3 linked regions of the Canis lupus familiaris genome follow. The protein of the gene in region 3 interacts with the protein of the main gene of each other region in a pairwise test. Links are inferred from orthologs where the notes say so. Each region holds a gene or a part of one and is shown on either strand. Other genes may lie near its edges. The genes, in order: DAB1, TBX15 and VENTX.

What was found.
Region 1: the proteins of VENTX (region 3) and DAB1 interact in binary tests that used the Homo sapiens proteins (3 or more experiments, as listed by UniProt). The two-hybrid records come from large-scale screens. The link is inferred for Canis lupus familiaris from reciprocal best matches to the Homo sapiens genes VENTX and DAB1.
Region 2: the proteins of VENTX (region 3) and TBX15 interact in binary tests that used the Homo sapiens proteins (3 or more experiments, as listed by UniProt). The two-hybrid records come from large-scale screens. The link is inferred for Canis lupus familiaris from reciprocal best matches to the Homo sapiens genes VENTX and TBX15.

The regions. Positions count from the first base shown.
Region 1 is NC_049226.1:52,848,231-52,851,877, forward strand, and holds part of DAB1 (disabled homolog 1), read left to right. Parts: intron 1-681; coding exon 682-1,230; intron 1,231-3,647. UniProt on the Homo sapiens protein: Signaling adapter of the reelin-mediated signaling pathway, which regulates the migration and differentiation of postmitotic neurons during brain development.
Region 2 is NC_049238.1:56,654,959-56,658,605, reverse strand, and holds part of TBX15 (T-box transcription factor TBX15), read left to right. Parts: intron 1-2,486; coding exon 2,487-2,588; intron 2,589-3,647. UniProt on the Homo sapiens protein: Probable transcriptional regulator involved in the development of the skeleton of the limb, vertebral column and head. Acts by controlling the number of mesenchymal precursor cells and chondrocytes.
Region 3 is NC_049249.1:41,347,771-41,351,994, forward strand, and holds the start of VENTX (homeobox protein VENTX), read left to right. Parts: upstream 1-1,343; coding exon 1,344-1,578; intron 1,579-3,144; coding exon 3,145-3,305; intron 3,306-3,838; coding exon 3,839-4,219; 3' UTR 4,220-4,224. UniProt on the Homo sapiens protein: May be involved in ventralization.

The sequences.
Region 1 (3,647 bases), on a different chromosome or scaffold from region 3:
CCACCTCAAAAACGTCATCTCCATTTATCTTTAAACCAAGCCCATGAGGCAGACAGTATTTTTTGCCCATTTCACAGATGAGGAGAGAGAGCCCGAGAGAGCTTGTGGAGCTCTCCCTAAACTCCGTAGATAAGAAGCAGAAGAACTCCAAATTTTAACCTAGACCTCAACATCCCCGATACTCTGATTCTTCTTCCCTCAGCACATGTTTTCCATGCTGAAAAGGAAGATCTTATAACCTGGCTTTCTAACCAAGAGCTTGAGGTTTAGAAAGTTTAAGTGTTTGGTCTAGCCAGAAGGGGAGGCAAGATTCAAACCCAAATGTACCCGATGTCTAGTACTCTACCTTTTCCACTGAGACACACCAGCGCCTGAGGCTGTGTGGAGTCAGAAACCTTTAATTATAGCAATATTATCATTATCTCCCAAACACCTGCCCGGCTTGCTCGCTCACTGCATTCTAGTTTTGCTTATGAGTCCCCTTCTTAGGTTTCTCCAGACCGTGGCTCTGGAAGGAACACTCCATTGAAAGCCAGAACTTTCATCTTACTCATCTTTGTGGCCCGGGTCTCTAGCACAGAGCCTGGAACGTAACAACTGCTCAGTATCTTTCTGCCGATCACCTGAATCCATGAATTATTCTTTCCCAGGGTACATGACTCATCTTTCTCACCCTTCCAGGTTATGTTGCAATGGGCGCCGTCCTCCCATCCTTCTGGGGCCAGCAGCCCCTCGTCCAACAGCAGATCGCCATGGGTGCTCAGCCACCAGTCGCTCAGGTGATGCCGGGGGCTCAGCCCATCGCATGGGGCCAGCCGGGTCTCTTCCCTGCCACTCAGCAGCCCTGGCCAACTGTAGCCGGGCAGTTTCCGCCAGCCGCCTTCATGCCCACACAAACTGTTATGCCTTTGCCAGCCGCCATGTTCCAAGGTCCCCTCACCCCCCTTGCAACCGTCCCAACCACGGGTGACTCCACCAGGTCAAGTCCACAGACCGAGAAGCCCAGACAGAAAATGGGGAAAGAAATGTTTAAGGATTTCCAGATGGCCCAGCCGCCACCCGTGCCCTCCCGCAAACCCGACCAACCCTCCCTCACCTGTACCTCAGAGGCCTTCTCCAGTTACTTCAACAAAGTCGGGGTGGCACAGGATACAGATGACTGTGACGACTTTGACATCTCCCAGTTGAATTTGACCCCTGTGACTTCTACCACACCATCAACCAACTCACGTGAGTGCCCTTCTTGGGAGACCTAACTCCAATGAGAGCGATGCCTTGTTTCTGGAGTCACAGAACTCATCTCAGTTCACATTCAGCAGGCATCTTGGTTTATATGACTACTACTAATAATAGCTACCAGTTATGAGGTGCCAATTATACATATCTACCTCGTAACCATTGTTTTCATACTTTTATACTCATAACAATGCTTATTACAGGTTTTGTTAGACCTGTCTGACCAATAATGAGAGTGAGGTTCAAGGACAACGAGAGTAGTTATTTTCCTACCAGTCACTCTGCTTCTAATGTTTTTGTTGATCTGCTCATCTATCCATCCATTCATTCATTATCCCTCCTTATGACACAGATTTTGGTACGGCTTGTTGAAATGGAAATGAATAGTGAATATGAATTTTAAAAGTCTGGGAAATAAGGACAAAAATTAGAGTAGAAAACTAAAATCAAGAGAAAACTTACGGGAAAGAAAGAGCAGCCATAAGATCTCATCCAGCTGGTTTAGTTGAAGCCAGATTTTGGCTCAGGGCTTTGGGTCGTCAAAGAGAAAAAAATGGTAGTGAAGCAGAAATCTCTAGACTGGGAACCTAGAGAGCAGATTTATCACTTCCTAGTTTTGTGCCTATCGGCAAGTCATTTTTGTGAGCCTCAATTTCCTCATCTATCTTAGCCTAAGAGAGATTACAAGGATCAGTGGTACATGTACTGAAACATTGTATACATCACAAATTTTAAGGTATTTTTGTCACCATTATGAATGCATATTGAATAGTTCTGTGTCAAATCCCTGGACCAGAGTTCCAACCTTTGCTCTTCTACCACAAGCTGTGTCTTTGGCCATGTGTGTGACTTTCTTAACCCCAGCTGTGTCATGGGTGAAATGCATTGAGTTGGCTTGGATGATGAGGAGTGTACTTCCTTCTAGTTCAGGCACTCAGTGATTCTTTCCAGATCACTTTTCTACTGTAAGCATCCAAAAAGCCATGACCATGCAGCCAATCAGAATCTAGATACACTTGAGCACACATATGCTCAGAAAAGTGACTGGTAATTCAGCCCATGCCTTTGACAATTGATAGGGAAAAGCAAAAGTCTCATGGAACAATGAGTTTGGCGTTTTCATTACTGTCACAGATGATAGGGATCACTGCTTGGCCAATAGTGAGAATTGTCAAAAAATCTAATGTTAACACAATTAGGTGGTGTTATTTCATCCAGGTTCAGAAGGCAGTTATGAAAATGAATGCCTTTTATGTGTATAAACAACCTACTTCTACTCAGGCCATGTGATCTCCATATGAGGGCATCTCTATTAGCTCCACGTCACAGGGTTTCAGTGAAAAATAATGAATAAAAAATGAAATGCTGGGGGAATGAGAGCCATGCATAAATAAGCAAGCATCTTTTGAAAGCAAGTGTCTCTCTTTCAATGGACTTGCATGCCAGCTATAAATAAAAGGGAAGTTTCAGTTCTTTGAGGACAGGACATATGTCCTAATCACCCGTCTACTTCTTCTAATGCTAGCATAGCATCTAGCGTGTGGGAGACATTTGGGAAAAATCGTAGAGATTGAAATGAACAGAACAAAGGCCATTCAGCTGTGGCTGTGTTTTACAACCTGGGCTTTATTGATATTTGGGGCCAGATAATTCTTTGTTGTGGGGTGTGTGTTGTGCTTATAGGATGATGAGCAGCATCCCTGCCTCCACCCACTAGATGCCAGAAATACATGTCCTGTCCCCTGAGTCTTTATAGTCAGAAATGACCCAAGAAAAAAAGAAAAAAAAAAAAGAAATGACCCAAGATACTGTGAAATGTCTCCTAGGATTTAAATTGCACCATTAAAGAACCACTCTTTTAGATTATTCAGGTATTCTAGAAGAGCCTTCTAAAGGCTAAGACACTTACATAAATGAACCTCTAATTATGCTTCCAAATGACTTCATCTGATAAGTAGGACCGGTACACCTCTCAGACTGGCACCTCAGCCTGTGTTCTCGGCCTCTAGTAAGCAATAAGCCACTTCAAACACAATTTGGAATCCAGTTACGCCAACATTTATTCATTAGCTGTTGGAAATCAGGGTGTTCTCACTTAAACCTGCTAGAACTAGTCTGTTCCATAATCATCTCATAAAACAGACTTCCTTTTAAATTAAAAAAAATAATGTTCTATTGTAAAGAAAATGAGTAAAAACAGTAATTATATCCTTCTATCCATGAGCATCACCTTCAGAATGTTTTGAGTGGAGTTTTTTCATCAGTTGGAACAAAAATCTACGTCAAATTGACATAGACCTCACAGCTGGCCCGACAGTGTAGACAGAGCTGTATTAAATCCCAACACTCCTATTCCGTGGTGCTGGTGACCCTGAGAAAGTCCCTTCACCTTTCAGGGCTGCAGTTTCTTC
Region 2 (3,647 bases), on a different chromosome or scaffold from region 3:
CGGTAGCTTCCTCACTCAAGGTCATGTGAGTGTTCCAGACAAAACAGGTATTGAATTTAAAAACATCTAACCTTTTTTCTTGGAATCATGAAGGAAAGAAATTCATCTCTTGCAGTGTAACACATCCTATGTAGATAGCTGAGAGGAACCACATTTTATTACCTCAGATAGCAAGTGAGAGGACTTTCTCTCTATCCCTGTTAAGGTATTCTCCAACCATTTATAAATACAAGGCAGTCATAAGTCATTGTTATTAAGAAAGGAATTACTGGTTTAAATGTAAATATATATAGACCAATGTTCCCAAGTTTTTGGAAAGAATTAATGTGGATTCTAGTGCCTAACCTATAGTGAATGCTAGATTTAATCATTATGAGAAATCCACCATTGAATTTCATTATCTCACCATAAGACAAAAATATAAGGCTTTGTAATTAAACTTGTGAGGCTAGAGGTAGAATATCCAGAATTATATACCAATAGAAGCTTCTGAGAAGTTATAAAGTAGGAAAGAAGGAATGGTTGTATATTATTATTTGGTAATATTTAAGAATTAGCCATCATTCCCATTAAGTTTTTGTGTTCCCCCCCACTCGCCACCTGGATATGATTATGCCACTAACCTACTACCACAGGACATTTGCATGTTGAGTTGCTTCCAGTGAGCAATGCAGTGTGTGACTAGCACAGAAAGCCCCATGTGTAAACAACTAGGGCACATATGCAAGATGGCTGTCTGGGGTCAGAGTATGGTCTATGGCCGTGAAATGGAGCAAAGCCAATTAGGCTGTATGTGGATCAAGCCTGTGACCTTGACCTCATTAGCACTGTGCCCTGCCCAGCTCAACTAACTGGCCCCAGATGGTTAAGCTTAATGCAGCATTTTGTGTACAAGTACCCTAGAACACATTCATGCAATCCAAATTTTTGAACTGAGCACTTTTTATGTCTGACTCCAAAATGAATGACATACAAAAGAGCTTGATGTTTTTCTACTTTTTTATGGTTAAAGAAAAATGGAGAATTTTATTCTAGACCCTTGAAACTCAATACTCTTCTGGGTTGCTCTCTCTCCTCCTCTTCAATTATGAGAGTAGTTGTAAAGTGCCGTATCCTGACCTCGCTTGCTTTGGCAAGTTTAACAAGCCATTGTGGTAGAAACAAGGTATTGCCCAGAGGCCACTAGAATTCATTTGGTATTCGCTCCTTATTCCACAGGGTCCTCTTCTGACACATATGTTGACAGCCTGAGAACTTGCAGAAATTTTTCTACAGTTTTATGCTTAAAAAACCCTGCAACTTTGTTGGTACTTTGGAGATTGATAGTCTCTTCCTTTTTTCTTCTTTTCTTGAGAGACTACTTTTAAATAGACTCAACCAATCAAAAATATTTCATCATCACCTACAATCAACTGTGATAAGCTACTTGAGTCATAAGAACATAAGTTACTCAAATATGTTAAGTGTAAGAGTGTAAGCATTTTCAAGAATATTATAATCTGATAGGAAATGTATGTATAAATACACATACATTATCAATCTAATCACATTAAAGGTTAATAATATAAATCAGGGCATGGTAGGAGCTCTTGGAAGTGTGTGAGTCATCAAGTAGGTCAATTTAAGTTAAGAAGAGGTGCCATTTCCACTCTGCACTGAGCAAAATGACTAGAAGGAAAAACTCACCTCAAAAGAAAGAATCAGAAACAGTCCTCTCTCCCACAGAGTTACAAAATTTGGATTACAATTTAATGTCAGAAAGCCAATTCAGAAGCACAATTATAAAGCTACTGGTGGCTCTAGAAAAAGCATAAAGGATTCAAGAGACTTCATGACTGCAGAATTTAGATCCAATCAGGCAGAAATTAAAAATCAATTAAATGAGATGCAATCCAAACTAGAGGTCCTAACGACAAGGGTTAACGAGGTAGAACGAGTGAGTGATATAGAAGACAAGTTGATGGCAAGGAGGGAAACTGAGGAAAAAAGAGAAAAACAATTAAAAGATCATGAGGATAGGTTAAGGGAAATAAATGACAGCCTCAGAAGGAAAAATCTAAGGTTAATTGGGGTTCCCGAGGGCACTGAAAGGGACAGAGGTCCAGAATATGTATTTGAACAAATCATAGCTGAGAACTTTCCTAATTTGGGAAGGGAAACAGGCATTTAGATTCAGGAAATAGAGAGACCCCCCCCCCAAATCAATAAAAGCCGCTCAACACCTCGACATTTAATAGTGAAACTTGCAAATTCCAAAGATAAAGAGAAGATCCTTAAAGCAGCAAGAAGAGGTGCCATTTCAGTGAGTCCTCAGCATATTTTATAGTAATAATTTCCAAAGTGTAAAAAAGCAGGCAACTTTGAGAATTGGAGGAACTGGACTTTGGTTTGCTTATCATTCTTCATAAGAAGAAGCTCTCCAAGCCTTTACTCCTGCTCCTTCTCCCTCTGTGATTGTTGAGCTTACTGCCTATTCCCCTTTATAGGAGGATGTTTCCTGCCATGAGAGTGAAAATCACTGGCCTGGATCCACACCAGCAGTATTACATAGCAATGGACATTGTGCCTGTGGACAATAAAAGATACAGGTAATGATGACTCTGGGATGTGGAATTGTGGACATTACCATTCCAAGGTAATTCCATTATCATTCCAAGACAGTTCTTTAAACTCCTTAGATGAAGTATTTTAACAATGCACTGTATCGTATACTATATAGGGAACAAGGATGGAGGAAGTACCAATAGCTTGTAGCAAAGCATCATGTAGGAAGTAGTCACTCATGGTTGGAAATCAGGACTTAGTAATCATTTGGTATGGAACCCTCCCCATCTCTGTAGAGAGTGGGATTGTATAGTGTCTGTCAGGGTTGCAAAAATCAATGGATTTAGACTTTATGGATTAAGTCTAAAGTTAATTCAGTTCACATTGAAAGTGATTAACACATTGAATGATTTGGTTTATGAAATGCTAAGTGAGTTGAGATGATTTATTTTGGAGAGGCAGAGGAGAAGTGGACCAGTGCAGTATATTCAATCATATAACTGATGGATTATCTTGTGGATGATGGAAGGGAAGAAGAGGAGAATTGGGTAAGATTTCAAGAAGGACACTTAGTGAAGCAGAATTATTGCTTATCAATATGGGTTGTGAGTGAGTTGTTAAATAACTTTCCTTCAAAGTCATTATAGTAAGTGTCCAACACAATGTCTATGTCTCTTGGATGGGTTATACATCAGTCTTATTTGAAACAAGTTGTGGCTTAACCAATCTCTTGAGATTTCAATCAGATCAGTGAATCATGTCTTATTCTTGAAATATTTGAGAACTTGGTGCTAGCTCTATGAATTAGGAGGGGAGAGATGAATGAATGAATGAATGAATGAATGGGAAATGCCAGCACTAGTATGGCAGAGGGAGAGAGCTGATTAAGAGAGAAGTGATCTGGATGCAGGACTTAGGACAAGAGATGCTTCCAATCAATTTTAGAGGATCTTGTGATTTGGACTGAGTGCCTCTGTTTGCTAGCATCCAGATCCTGTGTGGTTCTTTGTTAGTGAGAAGCAAGGAGGTGACAAATCCATAGAGAACTCTCTTTAGAACTGCAGGGCAATTGACAAACTCCAGAAAACTGACCTCCTTTGCTA
Region 3 (4,224 bases):
GGACCAGGACGCAGAGTCCCGGCACCTGTCGTGTCCACCGGGAGGGCGCCCCTGGAGCCGCGCACAGGACGGGGGGTCCGCAGTGCTGACCCCATCCCCGGTCCGAGAGCCGCGCAGCCCCCACCAGCTGGGCCTCGGTCCCCAGGGGCAGGACGGCGTCCGAGAGCAGGGGCCTCTCCGTCCAGGTCCAGGCCAGCACCGCCGCCCGGGACGCGGCCACCGGCGGACCACTGCGCTGACTCGGAGGCGTCAGGCCCCCTGACCCTTCCCGGCGGGGTCAGCGCCGCCGTTCCCGCTGTGCCCGCCGGAGGGCGGCCGGGGGTGTTAATCCGGGCCCAGCCGGAGGGGCCTTTGATCCCACGGTCCCGCCCAGGCTGGCGCCAGCGCCCCCAGGAGTCGGCCGGTGGGCTAGGGCCACCACACCCAGGGGGCGGGCGTGGGGGGGTGGGGGCTCCGGGCTGCCCCAGGTCACCCTGGACGCCGAAGGCGCTGGCCCTCGGTCCCGTCCTGCAGAAAGTGGTGGTGGCGAGCAGCGGAGGTGGGAGGGGGCTGGGTCCCCGGAGAGAGGACAGGCCTTGAACCCGGGCTGCCGCGTCCCTGGCGGCTCTGGGCCCCGCTGGGCAGTGGGGCGGCCCTTCTCGGCAGCACCGGGCTGCTCCATCCCTCCCGCTGGGTCGTCCGGGAGCAGCAGGGCGGGGCCGCACTCCTGAGGGCAGACACCCCTCCTTCCTGCCACTGCAGAGTGGAGGCGGGGGTGGGGGCGCCGAGTACCGTCTGAGAGGGAAGGGCCGGTGGGTGCTCCCCGGGCAGCAGCACCCACCCTGCCCTACGTTCCTCCCCCCGCCGGACAGCCTGAGGCAGCGGCACCTGCTCTGGGAGCCCCCACCCCCGCCGGTGATGCTGCTCCCCCTCCGGGAAGCATGCCCTCCCTCAGGTGGGCACACCTGCCGCCTTCGGCACCGCAGACCCCGCGGGCTGGAGAGGAGGCGGCTCCTCACCCCGAAGGACAAGCCTCCAGCTTGGGTGCTCAGCTGGGAGGGGCCACCCGGTGGGGGTGGGGGATGAAAGGACGTGACCAGCCTCCGCCCGGGCTCAGCCCCGCCCCGCCGCAGACATCTCGGAGCCGGGGGAGGTGTGAATGGCCTCCTTTGTGCCTCTGAATCGAAGGCAATTAGGTGCTACTTATCTGGGGGTGGGCGAGGCTCTGAGCGGCTACGCAGGCCGGCCTCCCACCCGCCTCCTCCGGAGCTTATAAACGCTAAGGCGGCGGACGACCTGGTGCCTTAGCCGCCGTCGGTGCTGCGGGGACCCTGTGCGTCACCCCCTCTGTCCTGTGAGCAGCCATGTCTCCGTCCCCTCCCCTGCCCAGCGGCCGCGGGCCGTCCAGCTTCGGCTCGGTGGACTGGCTTTCCCAGAGCAGCCGCGGGGGGCCGTCACCGCCCTCCAGGCCCGCTGAAGCCCCTCGGGGGGGTCCCTCCGCTCCCGCCAGGGGGTGCAGCAGCGGGGAGCCCCTGCACGGTGCGGGCGTGGAGGAGGCCAAGTCTTCAGAAGCGTGTGCGCCCCGGACGCCCACGGCTGGTAAGGCTGGGGCGGGGGGTGCCTCCCTTCGCAGATGGGAGCCGGGAGGGTTGGGGGGAGGCCTGGACTACAAAGCCACGGGGGCGGGGTCTCCTGTCTTTAGGCCCCCTGGGGCTCCCCACCCCCACGTCCTGGAAGGGCTGGCGTGTGGCCCTGAGCCGTGACACGGTCATTTCGCACCGTGGGGGACCCGGGCTTCCGGCGTGCGGTCGGCCGTCGGGGCTGGACACGCACGTCCTGAAGCTCACAGAGCCCGCCCACTGGGCGCCCAGGCCTCGGGACTCCGGCCCGTTGGCGGTGCACCGGCGGCCCTGCGGGGTGGCTCGGGGCGCCCTGCTGTCTGCACCTGGGAGCTCCGGGCCTCGGCTGCAGGGCGTCCCCCTGACCCCTTGCCGTTCACTGCGGAGCGTTTCTCGGTCTTTGTGACGTAATCATTGCTTTTAGGTTTAAAGCCCTGCGTGGTCAGGGCAGCCCGGGTGGCTCAGGGGTTTGGCGCCGCCTTCGGCCCAGGGTGTGATCCTAAAGTCCCGGGATCGGGTCCCACGTCAGGCTCCCCTCATGGAGCCTGCTTCTCCCTCTGCCTGTGCCTCTGCCTCTGTCTCTCTCTCTGTGTCTCTCGTGAACAGATGGATAGGATCTTAAAAAAAAAAAAAAAAAAAGCCCTATGTGATCAAAAGTGGGATTGATGTTATCTGTTAAATTCATTTTTTTTAAGATTTATTTATTTATTCATGAGAGACAGGCAGAGGGAGAAGCAGGCTCCATGCAGGGAGCCCGATGCGATCTCGATCCCAATTCCGGGATCGCGATCTGAGCCAAAGGCAGGCGCCCCTGTTAAGTTCATTTTTGAACGAGTTTGATCTTAGGGGAAAATGCTATACTTCAATGAAGTTAAATTCTACGTTTATTCTCTGCAACCAGTGCCCCCTCCCCAACAAAACCCAGCCAGTCATCCCTGCGCCCCGACCCCTTACACCCTGCCCCCGCCCCCTCCGAAGCAAGGGTCGCTCCTCTGGTCCCCTGCCTGCTTCCAGGGAAGTGTTAAAGTCATTGGTAAGCTCTGCTCCCCCCACACCAGCACTAGAGCCCGTTGGCATTTGGGTGAGGCCCGACCAGGTAGCCGAGCTCCGCACACCAGCGCTCGCGCCTCCCGCCGCCTCCCGGCGGACACACGGGCGCCGGGGGACACTGCTTGAGTGTCTGACTCTTGGTTTCGGCCCAGATCCTGATCCCGGGGTCGGGCTCCAAGCTCAGCAGGGAGTCTGCCGGACGCCCCAAGGGAAGGAAATCTTAAATCAATAAAAAAGGACTAGACGCAGACTTGCCAGAGCTTCACGTTGGGGGCGGGCAGCCTGGGGGCACCGCCGTCCTGGGCGAAACTGCTGGGGGGCTGCAGAGCTGTTCGCCAGGCGCCCTCCTCGCCCTGACCCCAGCCCACACTCCAGCCGGCAGAGGAGGGGCCTGCGCCCTGACGCACTGGGTGCTGAGGCCCCTCTATCCCGCGTGGGCCGACGGCTGGGCTGATGGCGTTTGATGGCGTTTGATGGCGTTTCCGTCCTCCCTCAGGGTGGGGCAGGGACGGGGACGGCCTGCGGGTGCCCCGCGTGCGCACGGCCTTCACCGCAGAGCAGCTCAGCACCCTGGAGAGCGCCTTCCGGCGGCGCCGCTACCTGGGCCCCCTGGAGCGCCGGCGCCTGGCCCGTGACATGCGGCTCTCTGAGGTGCAGGTGAGCCTCTCGGGGCTGCAGGCGAGGTTTGGGGGTGCAGGTGAGGCTCTCGGGGCTGCAGGCGAGGCTCTCGGAGCTGGAGGTGAGGCTCCGGGCGGCAGGTGAGGCTCGGGGTTGTAGGCAAGTCTCTCAGGCTGCAGGCGAGGCTCAGGGGTGCAGGTGAGGCTCAGGGGTGCAGGTGAGGCTCTCAGGGCTGCAGGTGAGGCTCTTGGAGGTGCAGGTGAAGTTCAGGGCTGCAGGTGAGGTTCGGGGCTGCAGGCGAGGCTCTCCAGGGGTGCAGGTGAGTTTCTTGGGGTGCAGGCAAGGTTCTTGGGGTGCAAGCAAGGCTTGGGGCTGCAGGCGAGGCTCTCGGGGGTTACAGGTGAGGCTCAGGGGTGCAGGCGAGGCTCTCGGGGCTGCAGGTGAGGTTCTCGGGGGTGCAGGTGAGGCTTTTGGGGGTGCAGGCCAGGCTCTCCGGGGGTGCAGGTGAGGGGGGCCGGGCCTGGTGGGGGGCAGCTGTTCCCGTCCCTGCTCTGATGGAGGTTTCCCCGCAGATAAAAACCTGGTTTCAGAATCGCCGGATGAAACACAAACGCCAACTGCAGGACTCGCAGCTGAGCAGCCCCTTCCCCGGGGGGCTCCACCCTCCAGTGACCTTCTGCCCTCCGCCCCCTGCCCTGCGCAGGCCACTGCGGCTGCTGTGTCCTTGGGCGCCCCCACTGGGGCCTCCAGCTCTGGGGCAGCCCCCTGGCCCCTTCTGGGATCTCTGCCGGGTGGATCGAGCCTCCGTGGCCTTGGCGTGGGCCTCGTGCAGCAGACAGCCTCCCACGTGCTGCCTCCCGGACCCGGGGGGCCAGGAGCTGGGCCCGGCCTTGGCCTTGTCCGGGGTGCCCCGGGGCCTGTGTGCCCTGCCCCAGACCGGGGATGCCTTCTGAGGACG